Linked DNA regions of Oryza sativa Japonica Group. The protein of the gene in region 1 interacts with the protein of each later gene in a biochemical or structural test. Links are inferred from orthologs where the notes say so. Each region holds a gene or a part of one and is shown on either strand. Other genes may lie near its edges. The genes, in order: B3 domain-containing protein VP1 and E3 ubiquitin-protein ligase AIP2.

The links.
Region 2: the proteins of B3 domain-containing protein VP1 (region 1) and E3 ubiquitin-protein ligase AIP2 form a complex in vitro, tested with the Arabidopsis thaliana proteins (2 studies listed by BioGRID, with this or other methods). The link is inferred for Oryza sativa Japonica Group from reciprocal best matches to the Arabidopsis thaliana genes ABI3 and AIP2.

What each region holds. Positions count from the first base shown.
Region 1 is NC_089035.1:40,356,195-40,364,145, forward strand, and holds B3 domain-containing protein VP1, read right to left. Parts: upstream 5,306-7,951; 5' UTR 5,196-5,305; coding exon 3,618-5,195; intron 3,423-3,617; coding exon 3,333-3,422; intron 3,116-3,332; coding exon of another isoform or gene 3,113-3,115; coding exon 3,015-3,112; intron 2,561-3,014; coding exon 2,514-2,560; intron 2,395-2,513; coding exon 2,318-2,394; intron 2,082-2,317; coding exon 1,785-2,081; 3' UTR 1,492-1,784; downstream 1-1,491. UniProt on the Arabidopsis thaliana protein: Participates in abscisic acid-regulated gene expression during seed development. Regulates the transcription of SGR1 and SGR2 that are involved in leaf and embryo degreening.
Region 2 is NC_089043.1:20,323,324-20,331,290, forward strand, and holds E3 ubiquitin-protein ligase AIP2, read right to left. Parts: upstream 4,127-7,967; 5' UTR 3,968-4,126; coding exon 3,821-3,967; intron 2,763-3,820; coding exon 2,549-2,762; intron 2,288-2,548; coding exon 2,043-2,287; intron 1,483-2,042; coding exon 1,276-1,482; intron 1,166-1,275; coding exon 1,016-1,165; 3' UTR 855-1,015; downstream 1-854. UniProt on the Arabidopsis thaliana protein: E3 ubiquitin-protein ligase that acts as a negative regulator of abscisic acid (ABA) signaling. Mediates ubiquitination and subsequent proteasomal degradation of the transcription factor ABI3.

The DNA.
Region 1 (7,951 bases):
TAATGTAGGAAAAGCTACAAAATATATACACTAATTAATAGCATCTATAATGTTGTCCCTGTAGATATCTGCATTATGTTCGCGCAACAGCGCACCACGGGATCCAGAAAGAAATTCGCCGAAACAGGCACATCATTGCCTTATCCTTCACGAACACAACACACACCTAAGCCTCTAGATAGCTATATCCGTCTATCGCTCTACCTATCCTGTCCCCTTCTTTCCTTCCTCCCATAAAAAAACAAGGAAACAAACAAAAAACCAAAAGGGAAAAAAGTGGAAAAAAGAGAAAGGCAGAAGGTCCATCAACATCTGGTCGCTCGATGGGGTGATCGATCAAGCGCACACAGTTCCAATCATGCATGTGACTAATGTCTACGCGACGAGGCTCTGCAGTGCGCGCGGGCAGAAGCTAAGGTTAAACCCTGTTTGGTAGAGCTACAACTCCTAAATTTTGCTTCAGGAGTTGAGTCTGGAGTGAAGTTATAGAGCTATCTAAACCCAACTCCACATCTCTAATTTATTTTGTGAGAGAACTCCACCCAGCTCCGATCACATTTTAAGTGGAGCTTAAACTGTTTGGCTGAGCTCTAACTCCAGGAGAGATGGAGCTAGAGCTGTGCCAAACAAACCCTTAATATTATGAGAAGTTAGTATAGTTAAGAATTTGGAGAAGCTGACAAACCAAGCTTCCAGTTTTTGTGTCAATTTCTAGATTCTACTGCTGTAGTTTTTTAGAATCCGGATAAAAATTTAAAATCTGAACTGTTTAAAAAAAATTTCAGTAGCTAGAGATTCTACGAGAAATTACGGCTGACAGAAGCTCCCAATCAAACCCGAGATAAGATGAGAAGATGCGGGGTTACGTGGCGTTGTGAGAGAGAGAGAGAGCCTCGAAGCGGGGCCAACTAGTTTATCATAAAACCGAGCGTGCCATATCGCCTTGTTTCCACAAGCCCTTAGCACATGGCGCGCTCTCGTCGCTCCAGCCTGGCAGAGTGAGGCGAAGACAAGAGATCAGAATTCAGAAGCAGCTAGCTCTCCACCAAACAGGCTACTCTTTTACTTTAGCTTGGTTAATTTCGTCCAGATCAAGAATCTTGCTAGGTGGAGAGATGCACCACCAGGAATCAATTAACCTGTGCAAGGGGTTAGTCAAACTCAAACAGCTTGGGCGGGTCATGATGAGATCATGCATCCTTGGTCCATGGAAATTTGGCCATGCATGCATGTGCAGGCTTGTAATATTCTAGACACATGCATGCAGGGATGGTCAATGTTTTTGATAGCATATGCAGCCGAAATGCCGAAATTAATACTATATACTCTAGCTAGCCGAGATGGGTTTTTTTATGTGCTAGTATTAGTAGATCCACACAAAATATGCATGTAAATCCTAACCAGATGCTCGGCTAACCACGCAGAAAGAAAAAAAAAAAAGGTAGTAACTATATTAAAAACATGATCCTATGTCTGCTTGTTAGCCGCAATGGACACGACGATTAAGGTAATTAATTAATTCCATAATTCGATGCATGTACAGGACGACGACACACTACAGGGGTTCAACGATGAACAACCAAACCATGCGTACTTAAGCGTCACTGGTACGGGGACTACGGGTTACTGATCAAATATCATCCCTAGCTAGCGCTACGATTCACATGCACAACTTAATTAATTTTTTTAGGAGGTTTTACCATCGGTTATAATACGGAGCTAGCTAGCTAATAATTAACCTTCAAATGGACTGAAGCTTGCTGCTGCTGCTGTCATCTGTTTCTTCAGATGCTAACCGCCATCTGGCTCATGGAGGCGGCGGCGGCGGCCTCCTGGCGAGAACGCCGCACGCCGTGCGGGGACTTGCCCTTGCAGCCGCCGCCGTCAGCCTTGCCTGCCGCCGCCGCCGCTGCGGCTTCGGCACTGTCATCGCCGCCGGTGCCGTCCTCGGCGCCGGCGGCCTTTGTATTGGACGAGACGCCGGGTTTCTCCGGCGAGCCATGCTTATGCTTACCTACCGCCCCCGACGAGTTGCCTTGCTCCTGCGCCGCGCGCCTCACCTTCACACCACGTATCAGCTGCTAATAATTAAGAGATAAATTAAGATTACGGTTAATAATTAATTAGCTGCTGCTTGCAGAAATTAACAGAAGTACTCCATAAACAAAGATACTGCCAAACTGGTCATCCGAATTAAAGACAAACAGTGGCATGCAGCAACTATATATAGCTTATTGGCACTCAAAATCACATCCAACTGAGTTGAGTTAAAGAGTACTCGAAAGAAGTGGGAAGGGCAATGATGGATGAACATTACATATTTGCCTGACTTGATATCGGAGTAGATCACAATGAAATCACCCTCCTGCAGCTCGTTTGAACGAACAAAATCACCTGAAAAAACATATGACAACGATTAATCAACAATACTTGAGAGCCACAAATTAAGGATGGAAGTTATTGGCATGGCTTGTGACTGTAAAATTTGAATAATTCAAAAGTTTGCTATTCACCTGTGTTTTCGAGAAGATACATCCTGCTTTTGTTGTTGGGCCAAAACCTGTGTTCATGAAAATCAATATCCATTAATGTCAGTGAATCAAAATCTAAGCCATCATGTATTCGAATAACTTGTGCATATATAATATTGCCAATGGAAATAATTAAATTAATTAATCAAAAACATGAGCTCAGCAGAACCAGCAAAAATCATATGCATAATGTTAGTACTGAAAACAGCAGGAAAAGATCACTTTTATTTTTTTGTTGTATGCACTTGAGCATCAACATAGAACACGATGAATGCATGCTCCTATTTGACTCCCAGATTCCAATGATATGTTCGTATGACCCACTTGCCCAATTGGGAAAGGGACCATCCCATAGTCATTTACTATTTCTGGTTCAGAGGTTTCTATCCCCTCCCAATTAACAAAGAAGCAAGTGGACTTAAACAAGCTTAATAAGCAATCCCAAATCATGCTTGATGCTTCGATCGAATGTTGATTACTCACCGGTACCGCATGTTCCACACCTGAGACGTCCCGATGTCTTCCATGGGGATGGAGACACCATCCCTCGTCTTCAGCTCCGGCAGGTGAACCTCTGCTTCCTTCTGAAACCATCCACAGATCAAGAAAGGGGAGACTTTTTAGTTCTACCATGATCGGAAATGTGAAGAGAAGGTTCAGGCAAATTCCGTCTTTGATTAGGGGAGAAACATCAAGTATGTGAGTGTGTGCAAGTGGGATCCTTCCATGGAATGGATTTGTGCCAAGTGGGGTAGTGGATTTGGAAGGAGAAGGTGTTCGAGATGGTGGTGACTGTCTCACTTTGGGGAGCACGATGCGGCCGAGGCTCCCGACGTCGCTCTGCTTCAGCACCTTCTGCAGCAGGAACCGCAGGTTCTTGTCCGTCTTCGCCTGCAGCAATCCAATCGATGCCGTTTAATTAGCTAGGTTGATAAATATTGGAGATTCTATCCCTGGACAGCGATGTGAGTGAGTGAGTTTTGAGTGTGTGGAGTGTGTGTGAGGAGGAGAATCGAGTTCTCACTCGCGTGAGATCCTAGCTATGGTGGATAGCGATTGATGTCAATCGTCTGCATGCATGCACACCTGCCGCTTCTCTGAAGCCGTCGAGCGCTGAAGGCTCTCCGCTCCGGCCGTCGCCGCCGCCTGCGGCTTCGGCTTCGGTTTCTCCGGCGAGGGTTTCGGCTGCTTCGACGTGGCGGGAGGAGGATTGGGCTTGTTTGATAGGGGATTCTGGATGATCTGGGCCGCCGGCGGCCAGATGCCCCAGCTCCGGCAGCCGGCCGACGACGGGGTGACCGGCGCCGAGTGCGCGGCGCGAGGGGAGGGCTCCTGTGGATGGCCGGAGATGTGGATCTGGCTCAGGTTGAGCTGCTGGCTACGTTGCTGCTGCAGGCAGGAGAGGCGGCGCTGCCTCGCCATCCGCTTCTTCCGGGCCTCCTTTGTCGAGGACGGCTCGACTCCGGCGAGGCGTGGAGAGCACATGGCGTGGCCGCCGGAGTACTGCCCGGGGAATCCGGCGGTGAACGGCGGTGGCACGACCGACGGCATGGTGTAGGAGCTCGTGGAGGAGACGGGGAACGGCGCGAATTGCTGCGGCCAGGCCATGTTCCCTCCGCCCGACGCATGCATGTCGCCCGCCGCCGCCGCGGTCGGCGGGGAGAACGGCTGGCTGCTCACGACCACGCTGCTCTTGCTGCAGCTCTGCTGGAAAGGGAACGGGCCGGCGGCGCCTGGGTACATGGCGTCGCCGCCGTACGCGGCTGGCGGCGTGAAGGCCTGGTAGGGCATCCAGGATGTGGCGGCGGCGGAGCCCATCTCCTGGCCACCGGAGGGGAACTCGTAGCCGGGGTTTGCGCCGGGGCTGGGGAGCTGAGGGTCCGACGACGCGGCGCCGTCGTCAATCGCCGTGCGGGGGCGCTTCTTCTGGAGGTGGTGGTTCTGCACCCAGGTGAGGATGAGCTTGAGCAGCTGCATGGTGCCCTGGCGCCCGCCGCCGAGCCGCGCGGCCGCCGCCTCGATGGTGGATCGGCGGAGGCGGATGCTGCGGAGGTCGTCGGCGGAGATGTACTCACGGTTGCTCGTGAGCCACTCCATGAAGAACGCCGGCAGATCGTCGGGCGCATCACTCCCCTCCATGCATGCGTCGCCGGCGTCGTCTCCTCCCCCGGCCGCCTCCATCACCGCCTTCGTATCGCCGTCGCCGGTACAGTCGTCCGCCTGATGCGGTTGCCCGGACATGGCGTCCTCTATCATCATGCCAACGTCGTCCGGGAACAGCGGCTGCTCGGCCTCCCACGGGACGGACAGCGACGCGAGGTCGAGGAGCTGGTCTATGTCGGCGAGCTCACCAAACCCGTCCGCCGCCGAGGCCGGCTCGGACGGCTCACCGCCGCAACCCCCTCCCGCCGCGGTGGTGAAAGCGCTGGACGAGTTCGACGACGACGACGACGAGAAGGTTGAGCTTGACGGGGAAGAAAGGCACGGGAAGTCCGGGAGCAACGGGAAGGTATCGTCAGCGAAAAAGACGTCATCCCTCGCCGCCTCACCCCTGATCTCCGCCGCCGGGGCCTTCCCCCGTCCGCCGCCGCCGCCGCCGCCGCCACCCTGCTTCCCCGGGTTCCCGTGCGAGTGCGGCGCCGACGAGCCGGCGGAGGCGTCCATGCAGAGTGGAGGCGGGCGGGGGGCGGAGAGCGCGAGATGTAGGCGAGGCGGGGGGTTTGGCTTTGTTTGTCTGTGTGCGTGTAGGTGTGGAGGTGGGTGCAGTTACTGAGAAAGGAGACGAACAGGAGAAGCAGCGGGAGGTGGAGGGTGGGAGAGTAGAGAGAGAAGAGATGCGGCTGCGGCCCACACGTGGCGGCCGCCGAGGGCTGTGGGAAGCGCTCCACCGCCCACGCCAGCCTCTCCTCAGCGACCGTACCTTTCGCCCCCCGCACGGCACGGCCACGTCCCACTGACCCGTGGGCCCCACATTTCCTCTGGGCCCACTTATCATTGCTGGGGGCTGCGTTTCTGGTGGGTGGGGTTCCCCTTTTTTTTCCTGAGTTGTAACGGTCAATGACAGTGGGGCCTACGTGTCAGTGGGAAGTACGGGATTTCGGCGCGTGCTGGTTTTGACCGCCGCGGCAGAGGGGGAGGGAGAGGAGCGTTCTTGCCTGTGGTCCAATGACATGTGGGACCCAAAAGGAAAACCATAGAGTGGTAGGGTCGTGTGCGCGTAGCGATTTATGCGCGCCGTAGGATGTCCGTGTCGCGTCCGCGCCGACTAAGGGGCTACGCGTCCGGTGTTTCCGAGCCGTCCGATCCGAACCACCGCGTGATCGAACGGACGCCATCTTCGGGAGGAGACCTGTGTGCTGTCTGGATTAGGAATATGGGGTGCGTTTTTTCTACGCGCACGTACGAAACCTACACGAGCTGGAGATGATGACGTGGAGGTGTGGGTCGCACCTTGGTTACGATGACGTGGGATTTTACCATTGGTTGCAGTGGAGGTGGCCCGTGTGAACACATGCAGCGAACGGCCCAGCTCGATCGATCACCAGCAGCCGGGAAGCGTAAGCGCTAAGCAGAGGCATGGCAATGCCATGGCATACGTGATCTTGTTCTGGCCGTTGCGTGTGGAACTGTGGGTGGAGCATTTGCTTTGTCTTGTTCGATCGGAGGATGCGGCTAGGTAGGATACATGTTTTGCAGGGGTAAGAGCAAATTTCCACTTTCTCTTTGCTTGTTTGCTTCGCAACAAATGCATTTGAAAATGACAGACAGGCCCCCAAAATCAGATTAAAAAATATGTTTTCTTTGGTGTCCTTAGTGATGAGGAGCACCCAAATAACCCATGCGACATCATCCAAGGATTTTATTTTTTTTTTGCAAGTTTGTACTTTAAAATGAGCCAATAAATCTATAATACACATTTACGACTACGTGTCCTTTTCAATATCCGTGGAATCAATTGATATATTGATTCATGGATGCAAACAAAAACAATTGTAAATTTTGGGTCATTGAACGATATATATCTCTCTAAAATATTATTTATATCAAGATGACGATATGCATGTATCTTTCATTATTAATTGTTCGCTCAAGCATATCGTATCCTTTCGAGGGAATGAAGCATCGAAGCTCTTGACTCACATCCAATACATTGTCTAATTCAATAATTGGATTTGAACATCAAATATATTCCATGCGTTGTGCAATTTACAAATCATTTTTAATTAGTATTTTACTATTCTCAATCTATATTATCGATAATATGTATTTTACTATTCGATAGCAACTGTAAATAAAGGTCGTTGGGTGTTACAGGTCAACAATCATTTGAGCGATATGGTAGGTTGAGTGTTTCCCCTATGTTGTTTTGGCATAACTTTCATATTACTATGACAACAAGGTTATTTTGAAGAGTTAATACCGCCACGTCCATTGTGCATATTTATAAAAAGTAACTATCAAAACACAACTAAACCCGTAGCAAACCACATGCATATATATTGAATAAGTGATTTTGTAAAAAAATATTTATAGATTTTGATATATGAGGGATACTTGTAAACTTATGTATATAACTCAGCCATGTCATCATCTCAAATAATTTTAGACAATCGGATTAATATATATCACATCATTTATACACTGACCATTCGATTGGAAAATACCGGTTTGCAACATTGGAATACTACTATACTTTAGTCATGATTGATACAAATTTCGATTTAAAAGTGTAGTTGCATGAATTTTGATTCATGATAATCTATACTGCAATTATCATTTGCATTGTGATATATTCATGATTGATGACTTCGATGCTCGGCCACAGGGTTTGTAGCGCGCAATCTATTTGAGCGTAGCCATGTAGCATTGTACCATGAACATATCAATATGTGGTGACTTCATGCATTAAAAGAAGATGGACACGTTGTAACCACAATACAACTTTCTTATCTCCCAACAACTTATATTACGTGCGGACGTATATAAATACAAGAGGCTGCAACAACATTTTGGCTCTTTGTGATTCATTGATCCGAGGTAAGGTCATAACCTTACAATGGTTCACCACCATGTATTTTTCGAAGTACACCCATGACTACATCTATACACGTACGCACGGTGTTTCGATAAAACAATTTTGCTATGAGTATATAGGCTTATGGTTCACTGAAAGACACACACTAATAAAAAGACACAAGATTTGGCTCGTGTTTTGGATTCACGAATAAATCTGGAAAATATTTTCAATGACATATAAAATTTTCTACTATCCCCATAAAAAAATGTACTAACTTTCTTTGATCATGGAAATTAAACCCTACAACAAGATTAACGCATATACTCCATCTATCTCGATATATATATATATACATATATATACATATATATATATATGCGATGTTGTTAAATCTTAGATATAT
Region 2 (7,967 bases), on another chromosome or scaffold:
GGGGGATTTTTAATTTATTTGGACACGTTCGCTGCATCGGCAGGGTGTGTGCAGTTGTATGTTGTTTTTGTTTGTGTGTTTTTCTCTGGGATTTTGGGTTGGGTGCTTGACCTGCTGCTTGTCTAGTTCGTGGGGGCAGGCGCCCGTTTGATCCGTCTCGCCGTGTTGCAAATCGCAGCGATGGAGCGAGCTGTGGACTGGACTTCTCACGTGTGATGGGGTCGCTGCCTGGTGGGCCCCACTCGTCAGGGGTGGGTGGTGGGCCCACGTAAGGGCATCAGCCCATGGAATCGCAATTTTTCAAGTGACCACCAACACAACCTACTCTGCTAGGCTACTACTACCAGGTTTTACATTACTGATAAACGATGCGGTTACCATGGTTACCGGTCTTATCGCCGAGGTACGGTAATAGAAATACCGCAGTAACCTCTTTAAATTTAAATAAATTTAAAAAATAATTTAAATTTTTGATAAATTTTGAACGGTTCACGGTTACCGCGTGGTAACCCCGGTCCCGACGGTTTAGGAAACTCTGAGTGCTACTAAGCTCGTAGAACGGCTACAGTAGTAATATAGTTCGCGTTTGTTCAATCTCGACGGTACAATCTCTCTTAAAAAAAATCTTAGTCCTCTATTTCTTTAGGAAACCTTGTTAAAATAAAATTTAACTTTACAATGCTTAGTTTATTCATTTGTATCATCGAATAGTTATCATCAGCGTCATCCGTTATCTCACCACCCCCATATTCGAAGGAGACTAACGCGACTGAATACTGTGTGTAAAAAGGGAATAAAAGAATAACAATGTCTCAACTCAAGTACTTCATCACATGCACATCAACGAACAATGATGCTGTAATAAGCTGGCTGTATAGTGGTAGTATCATTCAACGAAGATACGGTGGTGAACCGAAGCAAACGTTGTTTGTACATGAATTTTCAACTCCAGTGCACTCTGAATTTCAGGAAATCGTTACAGAGAGATAATCACGTTCGGTTGAAATTCAGATGTTCAGACATACATGAACTCCCCACCCCTGACAGCATTCGCGGCGCCCTTCCTGTCTTCCTCCTCTTCTCGCTCCCGCTCCTTCCGGCTCTCGTACACATGGTCGTCCGTCCTCAGCTCGTGCCGGCAGATCGGGCAGGAGTTGTTCTCGTCCTGCGTGCAACACAACACAACCATGATGGGTATAATGTTCAGCTACACCGAGTTGTAACGATGCGTCGAGGCTACTTTCAGATGATTCAAAGGGGTTATGTGGACATTACCAGCCATGGCTTGAGGCATGGAGGGTGGAAAAGATGCTTGCACGGTAGCTCCTGCATCTTGTCGTCCACCAGCAAGCTCTCCCGGCAAACAGCACACTGAGTCTCTTTGCCCAATCTAGCTATGATTTCTTCTGTCACGGTTACAACTGGTAGATTCGCAACGACTTCCTTTGAAGCTGGAGGCACCTTAGGATTCGCCATCACATTCTGAAAATAGTAGTTCCAAATTCAAGATCCATAACAATATGCAAATCTTGTTACCCTATTGAACTGAATGACAAAATGATGAAATGCGGGCTTTCCATTTTCGAAGAATTTCAGTGGTGGTTACTAGACAATCATAAGAGATACAAGTATATCCTTCTCGTTGTAGCAAGTGACAAGCTTATATAAATTTGAGAATGTGGGTCTAAACCAAGTTGATAATTGCAATAACATAATAACATGAAGAAATTTGGCATGCATCAAAGCATGATGAGCTCCACTTTTAGCAACTTGATCAGCACTTGAATGCGCAGCAGACTAGTAATTGAAAAATCATTTTACAAACCACTGATCAAGACATTCAACAAATTTATCAAATTTGCTTGTTTCTCTATAGCACCTAACATGGGCCAAAAGCCTATGGTTGTGCACAGTTTGGATACTACTCCAGTTTGCAGTGTGCAAAAGTGCAACAAGAAACTAACATAGAAGTTCAGGGCTGAAAAAATAATGAAATAAGTATACCAAATAAATTGATTCTCTCAAGAATTGTTCTTTCTTACCTGCAGAGATTCTTCCAAAGCGGCTTCTAGGTCTCCATCCACTGTCATGGTGTTTAAGAAATTCATTATAGCAGCAGCAGGTGCCATCTCCTCAGCCCTGGACTCTCCGTTGTTGTTCGCACCTTGATCTCCAGAAGGTTCAGCTAAAATGCTAAGTTCTCGTGCTAAATTCTGGGCAACAAGCCAGGCAGGAGGTGGAGGTTCAGGTCCCACTGTAAGATGCCCTTCAAAAAGAAATCTTGTATCTGGAAAAAAAAGTTTACATCTTCTTAGCAAATAGATATTTATAAGGGTGAATATTTTAAGGAAAGTTTATTTCACCAAAATACACTGCAGACAAATATGTACTTGAAGAACTCCTATGTTTATCAATTTCACCAAGAAATAAATTTAATTGCATATGCATCACAGGTTGCCTCCAGAATAATCATTAGAGTATAGCCAATCTAAGTATGCAGATGTGTCTATGAATGTCACATCATCCTATTCAATTATTAATGACATACCTGTTTCCCTGTTGTTTGGCATGGATTCCTCGTTCTCTTTCTCATCAAGATGCTCCCGGGCCCTCAGAATGAAAGTCTTCAGTTGCTCCTTTTCTGAAGGATTAGTTACCAGCTTCTCTGTACCTAAGAAGAGGTTCAGACCAGCACGCCAGAATCCAGGTGCTGTATATCTAGTCTGAAGGACAGTTGCCACACGGCAAACTGTAGAATACATCTGCCAAAGAACAAAAGATTGTGCTAAATGAGCATTATATATGTCGATATGATGGATGATATTAATGAAGGTAGAGTATGGAAAAGAATGCTAATCCAAACAACTGATTGTAGGGGTGTGGTATACTGGTACACAAAAATGGAATCCCTGAGGACGACCTTAACTAAAAAAGCATCAGCATCAGAAGTTAACCTTAACTTAAAAAAATCAGAAGTTTTTACATTAACAGGATTACTTCATCAGAAGATAATGAAACAAAAGGATTAGTATTATCCAAGGAAATCACTTTTGTTAGCATAGTTCTGTCCATGTATGTCATTCCTCATTTGCTCGATTGAGTGTGCATAAAGCCACAGGAAACACCTGAGCCAGATTACTCTGTCACTCATCGCTACTTCTGTCTACAAATAATTCCAATCGTTCATGGTGATCGTTATTTCGGTTTCTTGATTCCCGTGAATTGGGCGATGTTAACGTTAACGTCACATCTTACCAAGCCGATTCATTGGATTATAATAAACTACTACTCCGGCAGATTCTTTTTATTGCTTGCTTTGAATTTAACCATGCTCCATGCTAGCTTGAAGAATATGTAAATTTTGATGGGTACGTACTGATTTCACTGCATTTTGATTGGTATTTACTTGTAACGTTTAGCCTCTTGTTATAAATTTAGATATCAAGCTACTTGGAGAAAAGAAAAGGAACAATTTCGTTGGGATGAGATGAGTTATTCTAAGGACGTGTTCCTTACTGACACGACAGGACTAACAATCCCAGAGAAGATCATTTTCATAGGATTAACAATCCCAGAGAAGATCATTTTAATAGGATTAACAATCCCAGAGAAGATCATTTTAATTTCTTCTGCCCATTGATGATGACTTTAGAGTAAGAATTCTACTCCATTACCGGACCAATCGAACCTAGATTCATCATTACCACAGCGGCGGCGACGTTGGACCTAACCCAGGCCGCAACGAAAGGAAATCGGGAAGTAACGTGAGGTGAGAGAGGGGGGGGGGGGGCGCTGGCTAGGGGAGGTCGGCCTCATTTACCAGATCGCGGAGGGCGGGGGAGGCGGCGGCGTGGTGGTCCCGGACCGCGGCGGCGAGGTCGGCGACGGCCTCCTCGAAGTGCTGCTTCCTCCCCAGCTTCTGCCGCAGCGCCTGCAGCCGCTGCTCCACCGCCGCGGGGGCCGACATGGTGGTGGTGCCCCGCCTCGAACAAGCTCGCCCACGGGTCTCTCCGTTTTACCGGTCGCCGGTGGTGCGGGAGGAGGAAGGAAGGATGCGTGCGTCGCCGCCGCCGCGGCGCTCGCCGGAGGTATAAATGGAGGTGAAGGCGAGGGCGGTGGCGTCCGCGTCCGGCTTGGCTTGGAGGAGGGGAAAGAAATCCCCAACCCCCGTGGCGGTGGCGGCGTGTCGACGGACACGGAGACGGAGGGGAGGACTTTGCCGTTTACTGCAGACGGCGCCGTGACGGGTGGGGAATCGGGGAAACTGTGTGGGCCTTCAGCACTGGCCTACTGGGCCGTCCATCGACGGCCCTCGCGACCCCGAAACACAGCAGAGAGGCCCAGTGTAACTGACGGACCAACATTACGGCCACGTGCGGGAATAAGTCGGGCCCCTCAATTATGGGTAAAATTCAATTCGTATGTCACTCAACCGCGATACCGGATATTTTGAAAACCCCTCCAACTATTTTAAAACGGTGCAATTTTACTCCTAGGACAGTATTGAGAGCGTTGGCATTCACGTCTCATACTAGTCATCAGAAAAAAAAATTAAAAAATAAAGTGGGGACCCACTTGTCATACTCCCCCTCTCTCTTCCTCTCCTTCTCTATTCCACACACTTTCTCCACTTTTATCACTGTGTCAACAGAGCTGACGAGGGTGGAGGCCCGGGCATGGATCCGAGGAGATGGTTCTCCCTAGACGGTGGGAGGGGAGGGGACCCCACGACGAAAACGGCGAGCGGTCGTTGGGATGGAGAACGGCGCGGAGCTTGAGGGATGGAGATGTAGCCTGATGACGGTGCGCTCGGCTGGTCAAGAGAGATGGCGTGGATCCGAGGATGAGACAACGCTCCCTGGGCAGTGGCGGGGTCCCCATGGCGAAGACGGTGGCTAGTCGTCAGGACGGAGAATAGCGCGGAGCTCAGGAGATGAAGATACAGCCGACGGCAGTGCGCTAGTCCAGTTATGACTTATGAGAGGCGACGTGATGGAGCAGGTCGGCGCAAAAGTCAATGTAGATCAACAGCCAAGGAAGAGCTCGGCGGGCTTGATGACCCCGATTTGGCAATGTCTGTCGTCGACTCCTCCACAGGCACCTGGATCTAGGCCATCCTTCGCAAGTGGCAGATGGGGGAGTGGCGGTAGTGGCGCTGGCGGTGCAGTGGAGGTAGTGGCGCTGGTAGTGCAGGAGAGTTAGATAGGAGGGGCCGAAGGGAGATAAGGAGGAGAGAGATAAAAGGGAAGAGTGAGAATGACATAAGCCGCTCTCCAAAATCGATAAGTAAGTTAAATTATACATGTTTTAATAGTTAAAAGATTAAGATGTTCGGTATTGTGCTTCAAGGATATAAATTAGATTATATGTTTAGGAGAGTCAAATCGAGATATTCCCCCACAGGCGTCGGCACTCGGCACAACCTTTTCCCGTCCCCTCCCCGTAGCCGCGTGTGCTGGGCGCGTGGCGCCGCAATTTGGTGCGTGACCGCGGGTGTGGCGGCGGGCGACCGAGACCAGGGGCTATCGCCGTTGCCGCCTCCCCGCGCGCGCGCTGCGGCGGCACGGCAAAACCGAAGTCGGCAAAACAGCCCACGAACTACTCGTACTACTACCACCCTAGCCCCTGCCCAGGCTCGGCCGCCGCAATATCGCCGCGGTTCTTCTGTCCGCGGCACAACACAAAACCACCGTCCCAGTATCATCCCACCGCGCGTCGCGTCGCCGCAACGAAAGGAAGTCGCCCGCACCGCTGCTAGGGGACAGGACACACGCGTGTAATAACGGGAGCCGCAGAGATCGCCTCAACCTCCTCTCTCTCTCCTGTACACTGTAGGCCTGTACATGCCACAGTGCCACTCGCTCTGCTGCGGATGAGCTTTGATTCGCTCAACCGCGCGTCCGTCCGTCCTCACGGGCTGTATGATTTGTGATGAGGTCCCGTCTCACCGATCTCGTCGCTTTCTCTTTATCTGTTCATCTTCGTAAAATTGAAGTTACGATTGGGGCGAGAAAAAGATGGGCCTATGTACTTTGACACCTACTTCTCGTATGACCATGTCCATGTAAAATCTGAAGACCGTTAAAATGCATAATTTTTGACAATTTGACCCTTTGCAAAAACTATTTTTACAAATGAACCGCTGCCAAAACTTATTTTAAATCTGACCCTTTTGCTCAACGCCAAATCGTGTGACGCTGAACTTAAACACCTCAGCACCAAATAGCATGACGCTGAATGTACGTTTACACGCTGATTTAGTCTCCCATCCGTCGTGGCACGGCATTCAGCACTAGCTGACGTGGCTCTGAGGTGTCTAAATTCAGCGCCACATGATTTGGCGTTGAGCAAAAGGGTCATATTTGAAATAAGTTTTGGCAGCAGTTCATTTGTAAAAATAGTTTTTGCAAAGTGTCAAATTGTCAAAATTTGTGGTTAAAATGAATGAGGTGGGACGATTTTCTCGGATGACCGGGTCTTATGTTAGCGGCAAAAGTAGGAAGAGGTTTGTTCGGTTCAGCGATTCATCGTCTCCCTAGTCCCTACCATTCTTTGAACTACCAGTCTTGTGAAAATAGTACTACTGTACTATGAACCACTCCTACCTTACATTATGGTGAGTATTATTTTTCCATAATTTCAAGCGTCATTTAGGCCCATCTACAAGGACGAGTGAAGTATGGGACAGTACAGGCTCCCGAATTTCAGAGTCCCCCATTTAAATTATCAACTGCGTATATGAATAGACGTATGCCAACAAGACCAAGTAGCGAATGGAATAAGGGTATGTTTTTCCTTGCCGTCGGGATGGAGTTACCTCGTCCCGACAATAAGTATGTTATCGTCGGTAACCGCAGCAAACTGTAAGAAATCATATCAAATTAAAAATTTAAATTATATTTGAAATTTATCTGAATTTGGTGTGGCTATTGTGGTTTTATCTTTACTTATACTCGATGGTAAGCACGATTACCATTGGTTTTGTAAACCATTTGTGAACTTTGTTACTCCGATTGATTTCCTAGGATCAAGAGCATTGATTTGTTTTCTCGATTGATTATTGACTACTCCCTCCGTCTCTAAATATAAGGGGCTTTGGTTGGATGTGACATATCCTAATATAATGAATCTGAATATGGGGCTTGTTTGGCAGGCCGACTGCGACGGCTACGGCTGTGGCTGCGGCTGCGCATAGTGAGTGCGGCACTGTTCGTGCCGGGGCTGCCGGCAGCCGAACATGCCCATGAAGCCTAATCAGATTTATTGTACTAGAATATGTCACGTCAAACCAAAATTTCTTATATTTAGGGACGAAGGGAGTACATTGTAGCTGGATCATCCTTGGCGGTTGACGCGCTCTGTGCTCGGCTACTTGCCGACGTGCTGCCGTGCCTTAATCTCTATCTGGCTAGTTGTGCAACACGCCTGCAGAGAGCACGGCGCACCGTAACACCCCAAAACTCCAACAGCAAACGTAGTCACCTATCAGGCATCAGATCCACCAAATCCTTTTTCTTGTGTAGTCTAGTTCTCTAATTTTGATTAATGCTTTGATTCGAACTAAATTATCGAATATTGGATAATAGTTCATAACTAAATTGTGTTATATTTTACATCTATCTATCTATCTATCTATCTATCTATCTATCTATCTATCTATCTATCTATCTATTATCTATCTATCTATCTATCTATCTATCTTCTATTATCTATCTATCTTCTATCTATTATCTATCTATCTTCTATCTATCTATCATCTATCTATTATCTATTATCTATCTATTATATACTAAAAGTCCATTAAACTTCCTACAAACGCTCTCAAGCCGCCACGTGGCATTTTACAAACGTTCTTAAGCCGACACGTGGCGCTCTAATAAATTAAAGAAAGTCCTATAAATTCTAAAAAAGAAAGCAAAACATCCAACCATCTATTTTGATTTAATTTGGTGGACCCATTTTTTTTA